Linked DNA regions of Drosophila melanogaster. The protein of the gene in region 3 interacts with the protein of the main gene of each other region in a pairwise test. Each region holds a gene or a part of one and is shown on either strand. Other genes may lie near its edges.

Evidence for each region.
Region 1: the proteins of E(spl)mbeta-HLH (region 3) and tap interact in binary tests that used the Drosophila melanogaster proteins (3 or more experiments, as listed by UniProt).
Region 2: the proteins of E(spl)mbeta-HLH (region 3) and ase interact in a two-hybrid assay, tested with the Drosophila melanogaster proteins (one study listed by BioGRID).
Region 4: the proteins of E(spl)mbeta-HLH (region 3) and ato interact in a two-hybrid assay, tested with the Drosophila melanogaster proteins (one study listed by BioGRID).

What each region holds. Positions count from the first base shown.
Region 1 is NT_037436.4:17,357,434-17,363,977, reverse strand, and holds tap (target of poxn), read right to left. Parts: upstream 4,297-6,544; 5' UTR 4,186-4,296; coding exon 2,989-4,185; 3' UTR 2,167-2,988; downstream 1-2,166. Other genes in the region: CG7692 (uncharacterized protein), read right to left, coding at 6,513-6,544. UniProt on the Drosophila melanogaster protein: May play a role in the specification of the sugar-sensitive adult gustatory neuron and affect the response to sugar and salt. Regulated by POXN.
Region 2 is NC_004354.4:457,703-464,663, forward strand, and holds ase (asense), read left to right. Parts: upstream 1-3,044; 5' UTR 3,045-3,253; coding exon 3,254-4,714; 3' UTR 4,715-5,474; downstream 5,475-6,961. UniProt on the Drosophila melanogaster protein: Involved in the determination of the neuronal precursors of optic lobes in the central nervous system.
Region 3 is NT_033777.3:26,003,156-26,008,536, forward strand, and holds E(spl)mbeta-HLH (enhancer of split mbeta, helix-loop-helix), read right to left. Parts: upstream 2,869-5,381; 5' UTR 2,739-2,868; coding exon 2,151-2,738; 3' UTR 1,891-2,150; downstream 1-1,890.
Region 4 is NT_033777.3:8,275,443-8,281,282, reverse strand, and holds ato (atonal), read right to left. Parts: upstream 3,232-5,840; 5' UTR 3,158-3,231; coding exon 2,219-3,157; 3' UTR 2,009-2,218; downstream 1-2,008. UniProt on the Drosophila melanogaster protein: Developmental protein involved in neurogenesis. Required for the formation of chordotonal organs and photoreceptors. Seems to bind to E boxes. Specifically required for the photoreceptor R8 selection.

The DNA.
Region 1 (6,544 bases), on a different chromosome or scaffold from region 3:
GTAATAAACAATGGATCCGGGGCTGCAATAACCACGTGCACCGGCAAAGGGTTAAAAAAATGTGTGCCAACGTCTTGCTAAAAAGGCGTAAAACAATCAATTCGGCAAATAAAATTCGATTTGCGAAATGGGAATCGCAAAAGGGCAAGTACAAATTGGAGCTGTGTCGTCAGGAACGGTGTGATATATGATCTTAATATTTCATGCTTTCCATTCCAAGGGTTGAACTCTGACTCTCATCAAGTCTTTGAGAGTAACCAAAAATAAGGTTTTAGAACACCAAAAGGAACGACAATGCACATAAAAATTTCACATTACCTTAATTCATGTACTCAAATAAAATAAATTTTTAAACAAATGGCTTGATAATTTATCCATCTTTTACAAAAAAAGAAGAGTCCTCAGTTAAACCTACTTTTCTTCATGCTTGAGTTAATCTAAAATACAAGTTGATGGAAAATAATAATAAATCTATACTATAAATTGATAAAATAAACTTCAAAGAAAGCAGCCTTATTTCCGTGTTCGGTTTGATAGGGAAGAGTATGAAATGGCCCCTTGTGTTTTCTCCGTGTGGACTAATCCCTGTATATTTACACAGAAATTTGATTTGGTTAGGTATCTGCAAGTCGAACCCTCCGCCATTAGTCGACCCAGCCGAAGTCCTTTGTGCAATCTCATCGGACCGCATATGAATCGCTCTCCAAGGACCTGCACTTGCCGCAGCCGAAGATGCCAATCCATTGTGTTTGCGCCTTTTAGCATGTCCATGGCAATTTGTTTCCATTTTGGTTGCCTTATCGCCTTATGGCCATCGCCAAATTGTTTTTCCAGCCTCGCAGTGCATTAGCATTCGGGCAAGGGAGTCAGGGCATAGATGTCGTCATTGATCCGCCGATAGCCATCGAAACGCAGCCACCCCGTCCGCTAATGATGCGAGTCCCATCCGGGCCAGGTTTCATCCTCATCCTCAACCCTCGAGGAGAGGCGAGTGGGTCCCAGAAATTGAATGCAGCTTAGCTGGCTCACCCGCTGCGTATTTGCGCCTTTGCAGCACAACAGGACCAAAGAACCCAGGACCCATGCCGGTCTATAATAATGATTATTGCAAAGATAAATCCCGACACCTCCAACAAAGCTGCTCAAATGACAAACGCCGGCTTAGTTGTGGAAAAACTGACGAATTCCCGCTTATAACCCCAATAACTAACCATGAGCGAATCTTTTACCGACAGCAAATATATCTAGTTAACTTAAACATAGTTGAATGCTCAGGATGGCTAGACCTAAAATTATTTCTAAGATATTTGAATGATGAATATAAATTCTAATGGAGTATGCATACGAATAATATGTAATTTTAAATCTTTTTGTTAAAAGTGGTGGTTAGTAGTTGATATTTGAAATTAAATCATACAAGTTGCTGATAAAGATATCCTGCTTTCCCAATATTCAATTTACGTTGCATTAGGCAAACCTACGCCTTTTTTTAAAACTTTAAAACCTTTGAATGTAAGGCTTTGCAGTATGACAGCTCTATTAACGGATAAGACTGTCTTATTGTAATCTTCAGTTGAGATTGCGAATTCCTCACCGGCTTTCCAGCATCTTTACCACCTTTTTACCCTTTTCTCGTAACGGAAAACGTCAGTCAGTCAGTTGTTACCCAGTTAGGCAGTAAAGCAGTAAAGCATTTCCCTCGACTCTTGCCGGTTCGGTTCATTCAACTAAATAATTTGAGTGGCATTCATGCAGGTCCACTGGCTCACAGCTCATGTTTCAGGATTCCCTGTTTGGTCCTGACTGCTGCTGTTGGTACATTCGTTTTGTAATTGTGTGGCAGGTGACGGCAATCTTCCATTGTTCGAGCTATGAAGGCCGAGCCGGGAGTTCGAGTTCGGTTTCTACTTGAACTCACCCCATGTCGAATTGTAAGGGCGAAAAGTGCCCCCTACGATAAGAACAAGCTGCAGTGCACACACACAAAGCCATTCGTTTTATGTGCCCTGCAATATACAATATTTATTTGAATTTAAGTCCTTTGTTTGGGACCTGAAATCCGCACACAGCGGTACACTGATTCCAGGGTTGTTTGCTTTGGCTACTATTTTTGACTTTGTCCAGGAGTTCGTCCATTCTTCCCACTCGCAAAACCATTTTCTGGCTCGTTTTGATCGTCAACTTTATTTGCAAAAATAAATCTTTATGGTTTTACATCGAAATTCAATCTTATCACCTTAAAGTTCTGGCCCTGACTAGCTCGCTTTCCTTGCATTGCAATAACTGATATAGAATCTGGCATAACCTACATACACTTAATCGATTGTACAGTTAATTATGGCTAATACCTGGTTCATTTTAAGAATCCTTATAGATAGGTCTTAAATCTAGAATGGCAAGGTACGTATCGCTTACACTAAATGGACAACCGATTTGTACTATATAGTCAAGAAGAATGCGAATATGTTGAGAAGAAGAGTGCTTTTTGGAAAATTGATTACCCTAAGCACTTTTAATTCAAATATTCACCAGAGATCCGCAAGAAGGAAGCCAATGAATACAAATATAATGGGAATTCATATGAATTAATAATGAGTTCGTGAAGCTTAACTTTGGATGTTTGACTTTAAATTGGTTAATCTATTGAGGATCCCTCTATAACATGAAACTAATTGAGTTCAAAGATTAGCGCAAGTGTGAAATATACAATTTTTAAAGATATTTCATTTTCAAACTTGATGATAATCTTAGCAGTCAATTAGGTGCCTCGCTTATTACCAATATCAACGGATTGCAGGAAAGTTGAGAAAAGTAAGGAAGGGAAATCCCGAGATAGGACCCATAAGTTACTTTAGTTATGTTTTTAAAGTAAGTCAAGGGCAAATCGCTTAGAGGAATTCCCCTTGATCAGTTTCCTGCAATTTCCGGCAATCTTTTAGTATATCACGCTGAAAACCCTAAGATCGTAGTTTGGCCCACAAAACTGTGCTACACCTGCGGGGCGAAGTTTTTGTAGCTGTGTTGATGTGGAACGGGATGCACGTGTGCCTGATCCTCCGGATAGTCCTTCCATGGCGGTGTTTGCGAGTAGAAGCTGCTCTGCTGGTGAATCCCAGAATCCAAGTTCGTAGAATGAAGATTGGCAGCTGCATCGAAGGATCCCCTGAACAGATCGTATTTCTCCTGCGAGAACTGCTGCGGGCTGGACTCCTGCTGGGGATTAGGCTGCAGATGGTGAGGCTGATGCGGCTGCTGTTGCTGTTGGTGGTAAAACCGCATGCTGCCTGTAAAGTCGAATCCTGGTGGCTGCTGCGGATAGTCCATGCCGTGCTGAAAGCCACCCATCGCCGGCGGCTGCTCCGCGTGCGATGCTGGAGCAGTCTGGTGCTGTGCAAGAGGCGCCATTCCCTGTCCATAGGGGAACATTCGTCCGAACAAGGGATACGGCTGTGGATTCACGAAAAGAGCATCGAAGAGCTCCTTGGTAATCCTCTCACCACTCAGCGTGAAGTTCTGCAGCTTCTCCAGATCCAGGTTGATTGAACCTCCGCTTTCCAGCACCTGCTCCAGGGCAAAGATGTAGTTGTGCGCAAATCGCAGAATCTCGATCTTCGTCAGCTTCGTCTCCTCGGGAAGCGAGGGCAGAGTGACGCGTAGTTTCTCCAGGGCATCATTCAAGTTATGCATCCGATTCCGCTCCCGGTCATTGGCCTTCATGCGGCGGAAACGCTTGATCTTCACCACTTGGGTTGGACTGCGCGAGCGAGTTACTCTGTTCTTGCCGACGGCATATTTGCGTTTCGGTCGCGGCGCATTGGGATCCTCTGGCGACTTCACCGGCGTACTGGTCAATGGCGGATCGAAGACGCCATTCGTGGCCCGACTGTTCAGATGTTCGACCAGTGTCCTGCCGCTCCGAGTGCTGTGATTGCTGCTCGTATCGAGCAATCCCACGAAGCCCGCCGGCGGTGAGCTGAGCGGTACGGCGTCCCAGGTGCCGCCGGAGTACGGTTGCGGGATCGCCGGAGTCGGCGGAGTGCCAAAGTCCAAGCGGCGTCGTGAGCTCAACTGGGCCTCCGTCTCGAAACTCTTCTCGTAGCCACTGTCGAAGGAGGCGTCGTCGTCGTCCTCGTCGAACTCGAAGGACTGTGATCCAGCGCTATAGGCATTGTAGCAGGCGGCCATGATCTCGTATCTGTATCACGGTGTGTATATCCTTTAGCACATTTCCGATTTACGATTTCCGCTTTGAGAGAGTTGTTTCTTCGCGTCTCGCGTGCCCGCACCAACTAAAAGCTGGCGAGGAGTGCGCACCGGTTTTATGTGCCCGGCCAGCCATTAAGCCCGCTGATTTGGGTCCGGACTAACAGGCATCAACCCTCGGCGCATTGTCGTCGGTCGTGGCGGCGCCATAGCGCAAAGTAGAGAGCACAGAACCCCGACACAAATCCCAACAGATATGCGCCGTGATTGCCGCCCGGGGGTGGCTTTTGCCAACTCACACACCAACGTCGTCTAGCTAGAACTGCCTGCAGCGGGGTGAACTTCCTGGAGATGGAGATTCGTTCTGCGGGCCGCCGCTACCAGTCAAAATACGAGCATTTTTCACGCTTCGCTGCGAGCGGTGCTCTCTAGGCCAATCGGAAGGATGTCTGCGTCCGAGGATCAGCGGTGTCGCCAACGGCATCATCAAAGCTCGTCTCTATAGTCATACCCTTCCTCTAGGGTTATTTAAATACAATGTGCTTACTGCACAGCTTAAACTTAATTATATTTATATTAATGAATGAGTAGTATTGTTGGTCAATTTAAGATATGCTTTATATTATAGTTAAATTAAAAGAAGAAATATTATATTATTATATATTTTGTAAAAATCACTTAGTTTAAGGATAAATCCAAAAATTATTTGAAATAGGGAATACTTTTGTTTAATATGATATCTTCGGATCATTACGACTTTGTTATATTTTCGGTGTAGGTATAATTTTCGGACGAGATTTAATCCATTTCCGTACTAAAAGATTTCTTACCCTTTCCTACATATATAGAGTATGTGTGCTTCGTGGACTAAATAAATTGTTATTTTGTTTTATCGCCACATCGAAATAATGCGATTGCAATTCAAAAGATTCAATTACCATCAACTCTTTCGCCTTTCGCAACTAAACCGCAATAATCGTTTAGGGCTTACGCCTGTCGCTAAACGGGTTAGTGGCACGTGGCCAGGATGCCGCCTCCACTTACCAAAAGCAACATGTGTATTCAACGGAAAGCTCTCACTCCCACAGGACTCCATCCTCCTGGTAGAAAACCCAGGCGTTGCCACGTGCCGCGGTCTTAACGGCTGCTCAAGTGGCAAAGTGTGCCGATGTGGGATTCCTATCTGTGGCAATCCTGTTAAAGGAGGATCGGAGTTGCAATTTCAAGTGGGCGACGGGTGCCACGTGCGGATTTGTTATGATATGCGGCAATTGCCGCAAATTACCAGCACGAGTGAGAACTTGAGTGTCGAGGGGGCTAATTTAGTAATATGCCACATTTCAGGCAGTTCCTCCTAATGGAAATGAATTGAGTGCTTTTGTTGAAAAAATATAAACCTTGCTTCAGTAATTGTGACACCATCAATTTTTTCTTTAATAGTGCTTTATAAGGTAGCTAAGTATGTTATGAAAAATGTACTAAGTAGAGCTGATGTTTGATTAATTTCCTTATAGATTTCAAAACCAAGATAGTTTTATATAAATAAACAAATACTTAATGGTATACTTATTTATTTATTTTTTAATCAGTTTTCTTGTATGATCAGTACAATGAGTGTTTTCGTAACTTATAAAATATATTTATATATATATAAATATATTTATATATATAAATATATATAAATATATTTATATTGAAGTTTTAAACAGAATATTAATGGTAGTTTGTATCAATATCTTTATAAGAGCTAAGTACTACTAACAATGTTTCTTACATGAGAAGAAAATCTATCCCATATATGCCACTTAAATTCACACCAGCAGCCACGTGTCGCCGTCGTCGTCATCCATGTTACAAAGCTTCTCCGCCGCGTGTAGCTAATTTGGTTTTTTAGAGCCACAATGCACATCAATTAGGCAGTTAATTGAAGTGCGGATGCGTTTGCTTTTTCCATTGAGTGTTGTCCTGGACTCGATGAGAGTCCTTTTTTAAAGGCCCTCGGGCGGCGTTACAGTCCAAATAAAAACCGAAATACAATGCCGGAGCCGGAAACTTGGTCAAACAGATGTACACGTAAATAATTTCATCAAAATCCTGGCGTTTTGGTAGCCAAAGCAAATACCAAGTGTGCCCCAGGCTAATTGCATTCTAACAACCGAGACGAATTCGATTTTCCCAGCTATACACTTCATCTTCCTTGCTCCCTTCCTCTGCTGCGCAACCAACGAACATCCCTTCGCCAGCATTCGTTTCGGGCACGTAGAACATCGCCTCTGGCTCGGTAGCAGGCTCGACTTGTCAACAGCGTGTTAGAATGGAATGATGGCCTCCTCGTAAAGCG
Region 2 (6,961 bases), on a different chromosome or scaffold from region 3:
GGAAGAGAGTAAGCGAGAAAGGAGATGAGAAAGGAAAAATGAGAAGCCAGGTGAGGGTGAGGATAATTTATTATTGCTCGGATACCCCCGAAAGCGCGCCAAAGGTCCCCGATACCCTAAAATCCAAAGACCATGCGTTTGGTCGAAGTGTCCCCGACACACAGAGAAAACTATACAACACGTACGCACTCTTCGACTGTTTAAAAATGGATTAATATAAGATGGTGTCCTTAGTTAATATAATAAATATATTACAAAAATATAAGTGTTTAAAAAATTTGAATAATGCTTGTAATATTAGATATCACTATAAAAGAAGAAAAGACGTGCCAATCCGGCTACAAAAAAAGATCCATTACAAGAACACGACGACGGAATGCGTATTTATTTCTTGCATGATTCACCACATTTATTTCAAGATGGTTTTTTTCTGTGTAGGATCTCAGGTAGAAGACACACAGACACTCACTCACATTTATGTAGAGCACAAGGCACGTGCGCGATCTGAAAACAATTTACCACTCCGATCAGCGTGAATTGTGAGTTTCACTTTAAAGTCGAATGCAGTTTTTAAATAGAAACTCGCTATTTCCCCATGTATTGTTTAAAAGAGGTATTAAAACAGCCCGCACCCGCTCATTTTTGCTGCAAGGACGGGACACAGTTTGCCGCTAAATAAATAGCAGAAATGATTCGGGAGTAACTCTTTTCCTTAATTTTTTGGCTAATTTTATTTAGTTTATAGTTAGAAAGAGTTACATATCTGTACACCGGTCACTTGTAACTCGTTCACGATCCGATGGGGGGAATATGTAATAATTAGAAGGCATCGTCACAAACATTTCCTTAAACAATGTCCCAAAAATGGTGTTCACCCGTAGAGCGAGTCCTTTTGTGTAGTTCTCGGCTGGGGTCCTTTCACTTTTCCCCCAGTGCTTGACTCCAAAGTTATTTCAAGGACTTCCACGGAAAGACTTCCGTTCCATCAAGTTTTCAACACTCATAACTCGAAAGACGAAATAATAATATGAAAAAACAAGAAGCGGTAAAACAATTTATGAACGAACAACTGTGCACAGATGCTAAATGATGAAGCATCCTAAAGGATCCACTTGAGTCAACGACGAGTACACACAGAATATGGGCCCAGGACATATTCACCCGGCGCCTTTCTCCGGTTACAAAATGGAAAAAGAAGAGGGAACTTAAATTTTGGAAAATCAAAGCGACTTGCATGCGTTGGCAGATTGATTTACGATTTTGGAGGGTCAAGCCAAATAGAACGACTTCAGGTTTCAGTAAATCATGGAGGATCCAGTATGTTTCCACGCTAGCGTCAATTCCGTTTACTCATCTGTTTCATTACCATTTGGCGTTTCTCTCGTCGAAAGATATTTTCCCATTGAAATCAATGCGTTTTTAAAATGCAAATAAACCAGAAACCAGAAACCATTCATAAATTGTATTTGCCTAGATTGGAACATTTCGATCCGCCAAAGATAACAGCCAAAAAAATATATAAAAAAAAGAGTGACAGGACTACAACGCAGGTTCTTAATTTTACGAACGTGGGAGTAAATTCGAAAAGGTATGCCGCGTCTTGGGGCAAAACTTTTTTGAAACCGTTTACATGTAATATTTTTGGAATCGCTACTTTTATGTATGGTTAATTTAATTATGAACTATTTTCTTGCAGTGCACGAAAGGCGTGGCTGGGGCAAGGAACAGTTCCTTGAGATGAGTGCTGCGATGCGTCGTCAAAGTGGGACGCAACCGAGTCAAATCCTCTAGGACAACAAAGGACGCCGAGCAGTACTTCCCAGTACTCAAATACTCCTCAGTACGCACAAGCGTTGACTCCTTTTTCTTTGAGAGCTCGTCTGCATAATGAGGAATGAGGACGTGGCATCCTGGATCAAAAACCGGTAGTCGGTCGTCGCAAGTTTCTTCTCCCCGCCGGTTATCCTGCGCTCAAGTCCTTTTCCTTGAACCTTTTAAGTGAACTCAAGTTTATAAATTGTGCAGCAAGTACAACACACACACATATGTATACTCCTCTATTTACTCAGGTTTGTTGGAAACTACCTGAGAGGAAGGATCAAAAAAGTTTATTGTAGCACTCGAAAACTTGTTTGCACAGATAGACCTAAGCTCCAAAAAAAAGAATAGATTATAGAAATAAAGCACTGGTAAAATTATTTTCCCACCGGACTAATTGCCAGAAATTTTTTGCCAGACGTAGAAAAAACAAGAATGTAGAGAAGGATGGGTGATTTCTCACCCCTTAAAGGATTTAAATTGGCTCTCTGGCATCTTGTCAATTTCCAACATAAATTGTAGCCCTGTGAATTACCTAAGACATTACTTTCGCAGTATATACTTGCTGTTTATTAGCTTAACAATAGGAAAATGTTTTTGCCAATGCAAGTCCTGGTAAATATATGTATATATTATCCAGTACGAGTTTTTGAAAAGTTAACAATAGGTGATCCCGAGACATTTTTCGAATGAAGTAGAAACCAGTCCTTGGTTTTAGCTATAAGCTAAAAATAAAGATTCGATGCATTTCTGCGTTTTACATGACGAATATTGGAGGTCTAAGGTGATCTATTAGGATATTTTGCAAATTCCTAGGTGGTAGGGCATTCCTTGAAAACCAGGGCTGAAAAAGCTCCCCAGGGAATATACTTTTTATTATATGCATACGTATATGGTTATTATAATGTCCATATATTAATAGGGGCGGTATATAAGCATAATGTGTTTGCTGCCGATAAATAATGAGAGAGAGCGTGGCGAAATCCACCCTTGAACCAGGTGGACTTTTTGGCTCGAGTTGATCAGATGTTAGTTTTCCCAAAAGCCGTACTGTATATAATATATATATATGATAAAGGTGTATGTGTGAGCGATCGAGAAGGGACACCCAGTCTAGGGGATGAAAAGTCAGGCCCTTTACATAAGGGATACGCAGGACCTCAAATGCCTTCTGTTTTGTATGTGTGTGCTCTGTGTTGTGTATGTCAGTCAACGAAGTCACTTCCGTTGGGTTTGCGTTTTAGTTTGAGTTCGGAGTTTAGGGGCACGCGACACAGAGCGCCAGCAGCTGTCCTGATGCAAGGACACGGAAACCATATTACATCAGTCACCAGTTAACATTCACTCAAGAAGGACTAACTTGCTAAAAGTACACCCGCAATCGCCACCAGTTTTTCTCCCGCCCTCAAAAAGCCACGAATCAAAAAACTTAATTATGGCCGCCTTAAGCTTCAGCCCATCACCTCCTCCAAAAGAAAACCCCAAGGAAAACCCCAATCCAGGAATAAAAACCACGTTGAAACCTTTTGGAAAGATTACCGTTCACAATGTTTTAAGTGAGAGTGGCGCCAACGCCTTGCAACAGCATATAGCCAATCAGAACACCATTATTCGAAAGATCCGGGACTTTGGCATGCTGGGCGCTGTTCAAAGTGCCGCAGCCAGCACAACTAACACCACACCCATATCCAGTCAACGGAAGAGGCCCCTGGGAGAATCCCAAAAGCAGAACCGGCACAACCAGCAGAATCAACAGCTTAGTAAAACATCAGTGCCTGCTAAAAAATGCAAGACCAACAAGAAGTTGGCGGTTGAAAGGCCCCCAAAAGCAGGAACTATAAGCCACCCTCATAAAAGCCAAAGCGATCAGAGTTTTGGGACTCCTGGAAGAAAGGGTTTGCCTTTGCCACAAGCCGTTGCCCGTAGAAACGCTAGGGAAAGAAATCGCGTGAAGCAGGTTAACAATGGATTTGCTTTACTCCGGGAGAAGATCCCAGAAGAAGTATCTGAGGCTTTTGAGGCCCAGGGGGCGGGTAGAGGAGCAAGCAAGAAGCTATCCAAAGTGGAGACCCTCCGCATGGCCGTAGAGTACATAAGAAGTTTGGAAAAACTGCTGGGATTTGATTTTCCACCTCTCAACAGTCAGGGGAATAGTTCTGGTTCCGGCGATGATAGCTTTATGTTTATTAAGGACGAATTCGATTGTCTGGATGAACATTTCGACGACTCGCTGAGCAACTACGAAATGGATGAGCAACAGACTGTCCAACAAACTTTATCCGAGGATATGCTAAACCCTCCGCAAGCCAGTGATCTCCTGCCTAGTTTGACTACATTAAATGGGTTGCAATACATCAGAATACCAGGAACCAACACCTACCAACTGCTGACGACTGACTTATTGGGCGATTTGAGTCACGAGCAAAAACTTGAAGAAACAGCTGCTTCGGGCCAGTTATCGCGATCGCCCGTGCCACAAAAGGTGGTAAGAAGTCCCTGCTCTTCTCCAGTTTCACCTGTCGCCTCGACTGAATTGCTGTTACAGACACAGACGTGTGCCACACCGCTGCAACAGCAAGTAATCAAACAGGAATACGTCAGTACCAACATTAGCAGCAGCAGCAACGCACAGACTTCCCCGCAGCAGCAGCAGCAAGTTCAGAACCTGGGATCGTCGCCTATTTTACCCGCGTTCTACGACCAGGAGCCCGTGAGCTTCTACGACAACGTAGTCCTTCCCGGATTCAAGAAGGAATTCAGCGATATTTTGCAGCAAGATCAGCCCAACAATACAACCGCTGGCTGCCTTTCGGACGAGAGCATGATCGATGCCATTGACTGGTGGGAGGCACATGCACCTAAATCTAATGGTGCATGCACCAATCTGTCCGTTTAGCCGAATTTTTTCACATCACGCATCTCGGAAAAGCCGATTGCATTTTTTGGCATACTTTTTAAATGATTTTAAATCCTCACAGCATAAGTCTGTGGCAGGCCATTCTATCTAAAGTTTTTTTTAATCAAGCCATGACTGAGTCATTGTGTAAATATCAATTTAAGCCGAGAAAGGAGGATAACTTCGGCCAGCCGAAGCTTATATACCTTTGCTGTTAAAACCATGTATTTAATATGAAAGTTCGCACAATTTCGATGAAGTTTATCACAAATTTACGATTTCATCAAGATTTGTATATTCTCCAAATTCTATAAAATATATGTACATTTTTGATTCTTGCTATGGTACTTGTACGTATGATATTGTTGATCGATCCTGCCCGAGTCACCTTTTATATCACCAGACATGCCGATCATGAATATTTATTGATGTGGGGTCGGAAATGCCTCACTGCTACCTTCAGACATATTATAATATCCTCTGAAAGAGTGTGACAAAATGAATGTATGAACACTACATATTTAAAGTCATCTAGTGATATAAACCAAATGGAAATAACCTTGTAAGACCCAACCACAAAATAGTTATCCTGATAAACGGCTTAATGTTGAGCCGGACTAACAGAGTGTCTAGTATATAACAAAAATTAATGTATTTGTGTAACCATATTTTTTTTTTATAGATTTAATTGTAGGAACGTTAAAATGACAAGCAGATAATATATGCTTTTGAATAAATGCAAATAAATATGAACATTTCCAAAAACTTAATTTGTTTCTTGTGGTTTTATTTCTCAACGAAAATTAGGTATATTAAATGACAATTTATAATTTGTACCACATTTTAGAAAAAAAGGTGTTTTATATTTTAGAGAGTGTCTTATGGCACAGTATATCTCCGGTGCTTTATTGACTCGATATTCAAAATGGGGTTCCTTCTGTGACAGAATGACAGAATTCGGATTTTTTTCTAGCGGTTCTTTTTTAAACATGTGCCTTGATTCATAATGACACAAGTAATTAAAAACGCACCAAAATAAATATTAGGGAAATTGAGAGAAAGCGGTTTTAGGGTGAACTATTATTTAGGACCTAACCGGCAACCGCAAATCAAACGAATTGCTTTTAAAAATAGAGTCTAGTCTGTCTGTCCTCATAGAAGTCAAGAAGTGAAAAGCCAAAACAGCTTGAAATTCCAATAGCGGCTACAAACTTGAAGTTGTTTTAAAACCTTGTCATGCTCACCACACAGACCCTCATTAACATTTGGAAAATATTTTCAATGATATTTAAGGGAATGGTAATATATTTTTTTATACAAAGTTGCCAAGCCTTCACGCACGTCTTTTATTTTGCACGATATTTACTCACCCTCACTTTTACTTGGCGCTATACTCTCCTGCCAATTGTGCTCAGGACTTCATTGTCCTGTGCTTACGTGTTCTCATGTCTCTCTACCCGTCCCTTTTTTTGGGACATCTGCCCAAATAAAACAAAACGGAAGAAAAACCAAAAAAAAAAAAAAATAAGAAAGGGCCGGTCCAATGGATATGGATGATGCAAAACTACATAAGACAGGCATACTGTAAGGAAAATCAATTGAAATCGTTTTCCATTAAGAATAGATGGCCTGTGCCAAATGATATTCGCATCTGCAGGATCCGAAAACCAAAGAAATCTAAGTAGTACACTGAGGAAACAACACGATCTATTTTGAGGTCGAAATTACAAGGCGAGGCATTTTTTCCTCCATTACTATTTTTTTTTTTTCGCTGTGTATATGTATGTGTTGGCGCGCTCCTGAGCGCCTGAGATCGCCTGCAACCCCCTTTTTCAACAGTTTTCAGTTTTTCCATCCAGGTGCAAAGGTGTTTTCCTATCATTCTTTTTTTGGTCGTGTGGTGGGTGCGCCGTTCACCGTTAGCAGTGAAAATTGTTCACGCACCGTTATAATTATTAAATATTGGTAATGCGACACGCCCCTCAACCGTACACCTCCGAGTTTGGGTCGAATTTCGCATTTTTACTGTTTGAACTGGGAAATCATTGCCGTTATGTGCGTCTTTTTGTTGTTTGTGTTTTTGGTGAATGTTAAAGGCTTAGCACCGATAAGGAATATGAGCCCTATCGTATCCTTCGATCGGCAGATTTGCTTTCGTAGCTCTGGGTGCTGCAGTCGCTTTAAGTTGTGCCCCCATTATGCCATTTAGACCACGCCTCTATGAATGCATTATTACTGAATGCCGTC
Region 3 (5,381 bases):
TGGTCGTCGGAGCATTGGAGCGCTGGAGAGGCACCCAACCACACTTATATGGTGTGCTATTGACTCTGTAATATCTTTAATATGGGATGTTGTTACACTACATTGGCACACGCTCTTGCTGCCACTGGACAAGCTGCCCACAGGTTGTGTTTGTATGGGATCGTATGGGGAATGGGTTTGGATATGGGTATGGGAATGGGAATGGGAATGGGAGTGGATGAAGATCGAGGCACGAGTGCCGACTCCATCCCAGTCCCATCCTCCAGCCTCCATGCACAGCCCATTGCCAGGCCGGTTTGCCGCCGCCTCTCTTTTATTAAGTGGTGGTCTTGCGCTTACTTTAATATGGCTGCATTAAACCTTAGCGGCGTGCGGAGTATTATGACTGAAGTAGGTGGCCGGACCCGCGGTGCCTGCGATTGGGGGTCCACCGACACACAGAGGTCACGTGATGGATGACGTGTGGGCTCTACTGTACCTCCTGTCACAAGATACGAAGTGGGTTGGGTGAGGTCGAAAACATGGAATGGGATCATTCAATAATTGCAACCTTTGGTGAAATCTTCAAAAATTATTGCAATCGTTATATGCTGTTTAATAATAGCTATTTGCAAGCTACAGTGTAGAATTTACGAAATATTCTAGTTATGAGCAAACCAATTTTGAGTCATCATTGGCTTTTGTTCCTGAGTTAATCAGGTATTAGATAGATATGGAAATGATACCCACTCTGAAGTCAGCAAACATCACATTTAATAACCTCTTATGAATGACGCACGTTTCGGCAATAAATGAAAACCAAAGCCGACAAGCTGAATGGGAACCCCTCTAGATCAGTTTCGCCAACGAAGCCATCCAATTAGCCCCCGGCAATGGCCAACATTGCGGCACTTAGTCAATCTTGGAGTGAACTGATCGCCTTTCAACTGGTCCATCGCAAAATAGATCACCCATTTTCAGCAGACTACCGTTGAGCCCTATAAATAGCCGTTTTGTAGTCCACAACAAAAAAAAGCACAAAATAAGCGGAGAAGCGCTAACTTGGCCGTCTCGATGCCAATGTTACGTGACTAATAACATTTTCTGAAGATTAACAGCAATCAGCGACGGCTTGAACGGTCCCAGACTCGAGACGACCTGGTAAGTAGTCATCATCATAGTTGTCCGCCAGACAAAGGCGCTGAATCCGAGGTTCCGTAATCGAACCGCACTCCGATACACATACCCCATACCCCTACCCCAATCCCAGCCCCTATCCATACCCATACAGTATTGGAGTTTTAAGACTTAAGTGCCGAGACGGTCGCGGTCGCGGGCTTAATTTGCAATGTCTGACCGCCGGTCCGTCCGCGCATGTGCCAAGCGGTCAAGCGCAGTTAAAGCTGTCAAAGCCTGAACAAAAAAAAACTAAAAAAGAGCAAAATCTTAAAAAAAAAGCGAAACACAATGACCACAATGCTGAGCCATTGACAGCGGAGCCGCGGTTCTCACACTCGGCGGGCCTCATAATAAATGCCGTTTCCTAGAACTGACTTTTTGCTTTATTTTATTATTTAATTGCGACAGCGCCGGCGCAAAACTTCCCGCAGATATACGTATGTATGTTGTATGCCCCCTGAAAGCCCCGCATACCCTCGCAATCCGAATTCTCGGGGCATAATGAGGCCAAGCCGGAGAGACCAGACGATAGTCCGAGTGTGGGAAAATATTCAGCGACTTCCGGCTGTGGGCTCTGCGATTCGGTTCACCACGGAGTTTATCTCCAATTCGTTTCTTGTTTTAAGGGGTTTCTTTTTTTTAGTTGCTTTAGTTTGCGGTTGGACGCCCACTAAATGTCTGGGAAGTCTGAGTAATCAGCTCTATGGGAAATAAGTAAATGCAGAGATTCTTGAGTTGGAATTTCATTTATTTTCATTTCTTTATGACTTTAAGAAGTGAGCAGCAGCCATCTCTATAGCCGAAATTTGAGGCTCTGCTAGAGATGATCGGTGGCTCTGCTGGGCTGCTGGGAAAGCTATTCCTGGGCAGCAATTGATGATCTCCAAGGAGTTCGGTGCGGTTTCAAGTCCAGCACCTCTTTGGGGCAACAAATTTGTAGAAGCCTTCCGCTTGAAGGCGATTCAGGTGAATATCATCCGGAGTCCAGTTGATCACCAGGGACGCCACATGGGGCCAGAGGTGGAGCTGGCCTCGCTGGGCGCCGGGCTGCAGGCTCCGCTCTCCAAGCTGTCGCATTCCGAGGGAGGTGGAGTGACCATAGCTTGATCCTCTACTGGAGCTTGAAGAGGCACTCCAATGGGCAGCGAGGGAACCACCACTTGCAGGTAGTTGAGACGATGGCCAAGGTGACTCATCAGCTGGGTGCCGAGATCCACACTCACTCCGGGTACAGCGGCCAAGGTTTTGGACACTTCATTGGCAGCATGAACGTAGCCAGCACGGAAACTCTCAGCGATGCTAAGCTTGGGATCGGCACTCGGAGACACTCCACCGGTGACGCTGGACAGACGCAGCTGCTTCTGGGCACGCAGCTTCTTCATGTGCTCCACGGTCAGCTCCAGGATGTCGGCCTTCTCCAGCCGGGTGATGTGCTCGCCCTCCTGGGTCAGGCACTCCACCATGATGTCCTTGAGCTCGTCCAGGCACTTGTTAATCCTGGCACGGCGCTTACGCTCCAGCATGGGCTTCATCACCTTGCGGTACTGATAGGTCTTGGACATCTCCATTTCCAGAACCATTTTGTTGTAGTTTGGTTTTGTTTTTTTTTTATTGGGGGTAAAGTAAACTCGCGTAATCCACAGTCGCAACGTTCCACTAGATTCGGACTCGGAGACTCTGTGTGCACGCAACGAAGTCGGAGCTTTGAATGAGTCGGCTGGCTCTGGGATCGGCTTTATATAGCCTCTGCCGCCCTGGGAACTGGACAGTGAGTGCGAGCGGGACACTCATTTTGCCTCGTGCGCGGCCTGCTGCTGTTGCCAGCGGTGGTTTCAGATGGCTTGGTGGTGCTTGGTTGTGGTAGTGGTGGTGGTGGCTTCTGTTTTTTTGTATACTTTTGCCTGTATATGTGAGGGCAATAAAATGACTTGAGCGGGCTGCGCCTTCTCGCTCTCTCTCCCTCCCTCCTTATGTATGTGCTGTGATTGTTATACCGTGGGAAACTGTTTCGCAGCCGATTTCCACGACGACGACGATGACGACGGCTGGCCTGACTTCTTCTGATTGTGCATGCTTGGGGTCTTGTACGATCCCTCGTCCCTCGTCTTTCCGTCCACCGTCTTTCTTGAGCGGACGGACGGATGGACGGGCCGCCTTTAAGAGGTCTGTGCGACTTGGGATCCCAGATACGATGCGAGGCGAGCACATGCCTTCCATCCATAACAAGATGTTTGCATTTCAATTCATTTGTATGGTCGACTATGGTCGGGGTCCGGTCTTTTGGGCTTCAATTCGGTGCGGTTGGGTTCGGTTCGGTTCGGTCTCAAGTCTTGCCATGTGCCTTCACCCTTTTGCAGTAGCTTATGGCACGCTGATAATTGTGGAATCGTCATCGGGCCAACCCGAGACGGGCCAGTGTTTCTGTTTCTTGCTTTTTTGTTAGCGCTTTATGGATCATTGATTGGATCGTGGTAGTCGTGGGTTTCGTGGGACGAGCATTACGCTTTTCGTTTACATGATTATTCTTGATTGTCGGTTGGGGATCGTTTGGGGATCAGCTGCAGTTCGGTTGGGGGTTTTGGGTTCGCTTGGGGATCTTGGGTCGTCGCTCGCTTCTATTTGTAGACAATTACCATAGCGACTTCGGGCTGGGAACCGATCGAAGTCGACGTGTGCGCGAAAGTCGGTTACAATCGTAATGGCTGTTGCCAGCACACGCTATAAATGTTATGGCTCGTGGGCTATACGCGATATATGTATATGTATGTATACACATTTAGCACATTCGGTATTTATTTTTAACGCTATATCGTCGTGATTCATCAGCTTGAGATGCTAGATCTCCATCCGCCGGCATCTGACACATCTCGGATCCTAAGCTCGGGTTTCTCAACATTTAATTAGAAGTGCCGGCGACGATGACGCTCGCTGGCGTTCATTGAAAATGACACGAGCCCGGCTCATTGGCACACAAATAAGGAATAACAAAAGCTCCGAGACGGCAGCTACTCGATCACTATGTGTATATAAATTCAAACTCAAATAAGACAAATTAAGATTGCCCCTCGACGCATTCGAAATGAGCTACAGTTAGCCGAAACAAAGCAGCAACGGTGATAAACGGGCCAAGACACAAACGGCTAACAACTTATCTAACCGAAACGTTTTGTCCGCTGGACCGGGACACTTAAACTGTTGATGTCAAAAAGCTGAATGCTCCGGAAATGCTTAATTGGATTTTATGGGTCGGCAGTGTGTCAAACTGTTCGTCAGAGGGTGGTGGTTGCATTTTTGGGGTGAGTTAGTCGCATGATATTTGCAACAACCAATTAAGAAGTAATTCATATTGGATTATTAAAGAAACAATACTATAAAAAATATGGAAAAAATATTTCAAAAATTTAAAGATTTTTAAAAACAATTTAGCTACAATTGTAGATAACACGTTAAATTAAGAAATATTTTGTAATAACAATATAATCCATTTATATAATCCATTCATTCAACTAGCTTAAATTAAAAGCTAAATAGTATAGGGGCTCCAATTGTAATTCGGAAGTTCCAATTTTCATGTAGTAGCTATAAATGCCTTTAAACGCCACTGAAAGACTTTTCTAGCTTAACAACTGAATCACTGTCGTAACTCGAATCATTAATACCAATTGTAGCAATTAGAGGAAACCCAGTGGACGAGCACGTGCCCCCAATAGAATTCATCGAGTGTGCCCCTATAGCTTGAAATGCAGAAACCTAATCTGCTGCCCATTCCGAAAATATAATATGGAATAATAAGGTAGTTATTTCACAAATTTCATCAGATTCTGCAATGCTCGTTGGGGTGTAGCGCATATGGTCAAGTCGCTTAAGACCAACTGGCCTTTATACACCCAATCATCCAAAGATACAGCTACACATACAAAAAAACATATATCGCGAAGACCTCATTTCTCTCGGTTTATTATTTCTCTTGCTTGCTTTTTTTTAAATTTTGTGCTTCATTTTTTTTTTGTCGATGGCATACGCACGCGCGAATTTCAGTGCCCCCGCGGAGTTGAGCGATCGCCCGAGGGGGTGGAGCGGTAAGGGGCGGGGCACGAGAGCGTGCAAAACTCGGAGATGGAGACCAGAGACCCAGAGCAACAACACCAAGCAGTGTGTATGGCCATAGCGTGTTGTTGAATTAATTTATATCCAACAGTGCGCTTTCAACTTTATTGCGCCGC
Region 4 (5,840 bases), about 18 Mb from region 3:
AAGCTCGCCAATTATCGACATGACAAATTTCGGGGGCATTCGTTTCCCCCCGTTCGAACGGCCAGAAAAACCCACAAAATATGCAGCCCCACAACGGACATCGAATGCATACCCGTAATAATACGTGTTAATAATGCTCAGGCAAGCTGTCTATAAATTGACAAAGACATGCAAGTGGCTGCCGCTTCTGCCACTTCTGCCACTTCTGCCACTTCTGCCACTACTGCTCCTCCTGTTTTCCGGCGTGATGTTGCTGCTGTGTCGGCGGCACTGCCAAAAGCCAAAGGCCGAAAGCTGAAAGCCGAATGCCGAAACGCAGTGAGCCAGTAAGTCAGAATGCCAGAACTCGACTGGGGTCGAGTTGCCATTCATGAATTCTAACTAATTGTATTGGCAGGCAGTTGCATTTTGGAAGCTGGATCTGAATTCGAGGCTCCGAATCTCTGCTGTGCTGTGCAGCTGCATGCAGGTGGTAGCTGGAGTAGCTGCTCGGGAATAACGACCGATATTGGCAGGAAGGCCTCTCTTCCCGCATCACGACGGATCGCACCCTTTTGTTGTGCGTGGCTTTTGAGATGGGGGAACCGAACGGAGCCGAACAATTTGTGTAATTGACAAATTGACGGCAGCGCTTTGTGCGGAAGCGTTCAAAGCCGTAAATTGTCGCTAACAAGAGCGACACTCCAGGGATATCGGCAGGATATCGCCTTTATGCCTCGCATTCGCGCCTATACAAATATAATTGCCTCAGCCGCTGGAAAAGACGCCTGGGGAGACGCCCGCACCTCGCGATCACTAAATTAAGTCATTAACAATTTAACGAAGCCCTGTCGATGCCGCGCTGCCGCTTAACTAATTATGTGAATTTCCTTTTGATTATGTGCCCCGAAATCCGTGCAGCTTTTGCGGCGACGCCCGAAAATGATTTTGCAAAACAAACAGTAACAGCCCACGAAATCCGGTCGCTGCCACGCCCCCACCCTCGCTAGCCGCCACCGAGCGCTCCAATTCCCATGCGGGAGTCGATCGAATCGCCGGCACTCGGGCGTTGCTGTCGCTATCAACAAATTGGCTTCGAATCTTACGAATGATTGACTGACTGACTGAATGACTGACTGACTGGGCCGGGGATCTCTGCTCCGTTTTAAGCTGAATGATATGTTGCACTGCCAGAAATCGTCATAGGATTTATTTATTCAACAGATCCAAAAATATCATCCATCTAATATCACTAAATAATATATTTAATTATATTTTAAAGGGAATGAATTCTGTGTAGAACTAACTATAAAGGTTTGCTTTGATCCTATCTTGTACTATATACATTTTATTATATTACCTTAAATAATATTATTTATTACATTAACTTATTGAACAAAACTTCTTCAACACCTTCTTGTTTTGCTGAGTGCACAGTTTCGGCTTAAAGTCTTAAGCCGCTGAGTTTATCCGCCAACAACGATCGGGGATCGAACTTCGTATTAAACGATTTGTGAGTGGCGCTTGATTTTCGGGGCTCGACTGGGACTTCCACTGGGATATGAAGTTGCAGAGGTTCCAGGGACAGCGACGGACAAATGGACATACGGACAAGCGGACATACGGACATTGCATGCGACCTGCGACTGCTGAAAGCAGATCAGCCCAACACTTAACTTAATTTGGCAGCTACAGTCCGGCGCGCCGTGCCGTGTAATTATCGTCCGCTGCGTATTTGTTTTGGCCAACCCGATTAAGAGGGGCCCTAATTTTGTCGAACTGTCTACAAATTGATCGCGAAGCGCCAAATCGATCACCTTCCCCCATATAATAAAGTCCAATTCACTGTGTGAGAATTGATGCCCCGCCGATAAGTGTGGATATCGAGGATTGGGGAAACAGAATTGTTCAGAGATGAAAGGATTTGGATGGCTTGGAATTTTTGTATTTATCATTTTGCATCTAGGAATTGTTGCATAGCTACTAAAACTGTTAGAAAGTCCCCGTTAACAAAAAACGAACATATGTTTTAAATTATTAATGGTGCTTTTATTTTGTCTTCCTTAGTCTTAATCATTGTCTTCCATTTAGGCTAATTAACTAAACAATAAACAGCATAATACTTAAGCGGTAATTCACTACTGGGCTCCAGGCAATATATACAAAGTAGCTACAACATTTGGCAAGCTCCAACAATAACTGAGAATAGTACTTGGGACTGGGATCGGGATCCGGGAATTCAGCGCAGCAGATCCCCGAGAGCGGATATGTAGGTCTGGGCCATTTGGAGGGTCTCGTGTTTGGACAGCTGGCGATCGTTTCCCAGACAGGGAAGGTACTGGCGGAGACGATCGAAGGCCTGGTTGAGGTTCTGCATCCGACGACGCTCACGTGCATTGGCGGCCAGGCGACGCTTCCTCTTCACGACGGGTGTGATCTGCTTGCCACGCCTCTTCTTTCCAGAGCCTCCGGCAGCGGCATCTTGGTTCTCACCATCGGCCAAGTCAAAGGATCCATCATTGCCATCGAAGTCCTCACCGCCACTGAAGAGCATGAGGTCCTCGTCATCCTCGACGCTGTCATCGAACAAGGCGGAGTTGTCAAAGTCAAAGTTCTGGAACTCCTCCGTGTAGAGATTCACTGAGGCAGATGACTCCGCAGCTGCAGTCGGTGTGGAGGTGGCGGTGGTGCTTGGCTGGTTCTTCTTGGTATAGCTACGCTTCGGTTTCGGACCTGCTGAGGCTGGAATCGTTTTGCAAGTGCCCACGTTGGAGGAGCCCATGACCTCCACTGCCGGAGGAGAGGCCACTGGAATTGCAGGCGCTGTGGAAACAACAGACTGCTCCATAATCATTCCGTATTGTTGGTTCTGGGCCATGTTGTTGCAGCCTCCATTGTACATGGTATTGAGATCCACATACTCGGGACTCTCAGATCGGTGGCTAGCCGGCGAGGAGGAGATCCAGCCATCGGAACTGGCCTGCTCGAAGCTGATGAAGCCATTGGCCGACAAGTAGTTGCTGCTGCTGGCCAGGGTGTTGCCATTGAACTGGTAGTGGGTCACGCCGGGATTGTAGGCTGCCATGGGATTGAAGTACGGCTCGGCGGCGGCTGTCTTGAAGCCCTGCAAGTCCTCGGAGGTCTTGTAGTAGTAGCGATAGATCTCACTGGACGACATGTTGCTGCTGCTGTATGGTGGTGTTATGTTGCTGGATGAAACGATACGAACGCTGCGAGTGCTGGCGGGTTTCTGACTGGTCTCTCGTCCTTTCGGCCCTATTTATACTCACAAATCCACCACGACGGTCAGAAGGGCCTGAAAGGCAGGTAGGGGGGCAGGTAAACGAGTTGCCACAGAAGGCAGCACGTGCCGCCCGAGTGGCACGACCAATGGCAGTTGGTGGTGAGTTGCAGCGGTCTCAGAGAGCCCGGTTATACCTCAGTTCGTTGCGAGCTTAAAATGGCGCTAGAAAACCGACTATCTGGGCATCTAAAGCCGCTAACAAGATGATTATAGGATGGCCGGCACAACCGGAACAGGAATATGGGCGGAAATGTAAACAGAACTTGGACAAACAATCGATTTGAATCCCTAAACGGGATTAAAGTCGACCGCAAAGCGAAGCGAAATTTGCAAAAATCCCTTGGCGATTTGTCAGCACCAAATGGCAGAGCGGGTCTTATGAGTTTATCTAATCTGCATCGGTTGCAAGTGGGTTCGATCTACCTGATCACGGCTAGGGAAATCCTTACAAATCCACCGCCGCCGGGTCATTCGACATGCTTACCCAAAGTCGGGGGCGGAATATCGCAATGAAAAATCTTGTTTATTACAACTTGGCAAATTTTCCAATTGATACGCTTGTTGCCGGTACCATGAAGAAGGTAGATGATAGCGCCGGCCCTTCAAGGACACGCTTGACCGAGTGCCAGGACTGACCTTCACCTTAGCCCTCGTCGTGCCTAATAAGCGTGGCAGGCAGTAACTAAGAGCTGGGTTAACATTTTAGCGCCTTGCAATTAATACGGCCGTGTGTTCGATCGTGAGCAGGGAATTTAGTTGTAGATCCCAGGATGACACAGCAAAACGAAGCGTCCACGGTGGTCCTTAGATCCCTTCGCTACGCCCCTTAATCCTTAATGATTCGCTGGAAATCATAATGCAACGAATTCTACATCAACCACTTGCGGGGGAGTGTTCGGGCATCTTTGAAGTTCCGCGGCCACCCAGTCGCACAACTAGTAGCACGCCCCAAAGGATCTGATCTTTTTGCCGGGCAATAAAAACGCTGTCAATTAGATAAAAATGTCACACAACAAACCGCACCAAGAGCGGCACCACCAATTTATTGGACGCACACAGGCATGTTTGACCTTTTGTCCACCCCTGAGAGACCTCGAATGTCCTGAACGTCCCTCGTGAATGTCCTTCCATGCAATTTACGAGCCACTTGCCGCAACAGACAGTAGTTACACCTGCAATATGTACCTGTGCAGATCGTATCCCTCGGATTGCATCTCCGCTGTAAAGTTTTTCGCTTATCGGCATTAGCCGATGTCAAGGCATCCGCTGCATATCGATTGGGAAATTTACATTTTCATTGCCGCATCGCAATATGCACGTGCTGCCAGTCGAGGGGGCAAAAAGGGTCATTCCAAGTCAAGTCGAGTTCTTTTTTCGCCAATGGTCGGCATCGGGCGCCTTGCGTGCCTGTCAGTTATCGAGTGGCTGATCCCTCACATCGGACCCACATACCTTATGAGTACCAGTACCTCCAATACCTCAGCTCCAGCTCATTGGCATCAATACGCTGGTAACGGGCCACTTCTTTCATGTCAATATGCATAAATGCAACTTGGCCATCGATGGGAATGCAACTGATGTGGAGCAGCTTCCAGAAAGCGCATGACAAAGCCAATTGAATGGGTATGAATCTGCTTGGGTGAAACATGAAACACTCTTGTAGTCATATCCAAATCATATTCTTATATTATCCTAGAAAAACCAACCTGTATATTCTTGAGTGTAATATAATATGGTGAATGTTATAATTGTATATTGGGTTTTTTACTAAACTCTCAAATCATGTATTAGTTACTTAGGCCATTAAACTATTGACGCAGTAACTAAATTAATTTAGTTATTTTCTACATTTTGTTAAGTAACCAAATTGCTGACTAGCCGGCCTAATTCAGTATACTCTTTCCAGGACTCTCTTCGGCATGAGGAACGTGTAGGCGCAAGAGATGCCAACAAGAGGAAAGTAGGCTCACGTCAACGACTCCCATTAGCAAGTCGCTCTGGGCCGTGAAAGTGTTGTCCAGATCCATATTTATATATATCCAGACCGAATCCCAGTCCACCAGCTCCTGCTCGACTTAAACGTCTTCGGCCCAGTTATTTTTTTTAGCTGAAATTGAAAAATTTGTATGTTACTTATTTTATTAGCATTTAACACTCTGTCCCATTTTGCAGACGAGAGCGAAAAGCGAAAGGAGCAGGAGTCTGGACACGGACATGGACATGGACATGCAATCGGCATGGCATGCCATCTCCGCAACTGGGGTAGTTCCCATTCCCCCAGTTCCGTGCACGTGGGTGGCCTGGCCCCAAATCGAATCCTGGCCTCTTGTGTGGCATTTCGGCAATTGTCAAATTGAAAATTCATTAAAGGCAAATTAAATATGCAAATGCAGAAGGACCAAGTCGAGGAGGAGGAAAGAGCTCCCCTTGTTATGTGAGACCGTTGTTTGACTTGGCTCTGCAAATATTGACCACCGATTGGGGCGGTGGAAAAATGGAAAATATCATATGTACATATGCTCCTCGACGGGGATAAAAAGTCAAGTGGAGTCAAACA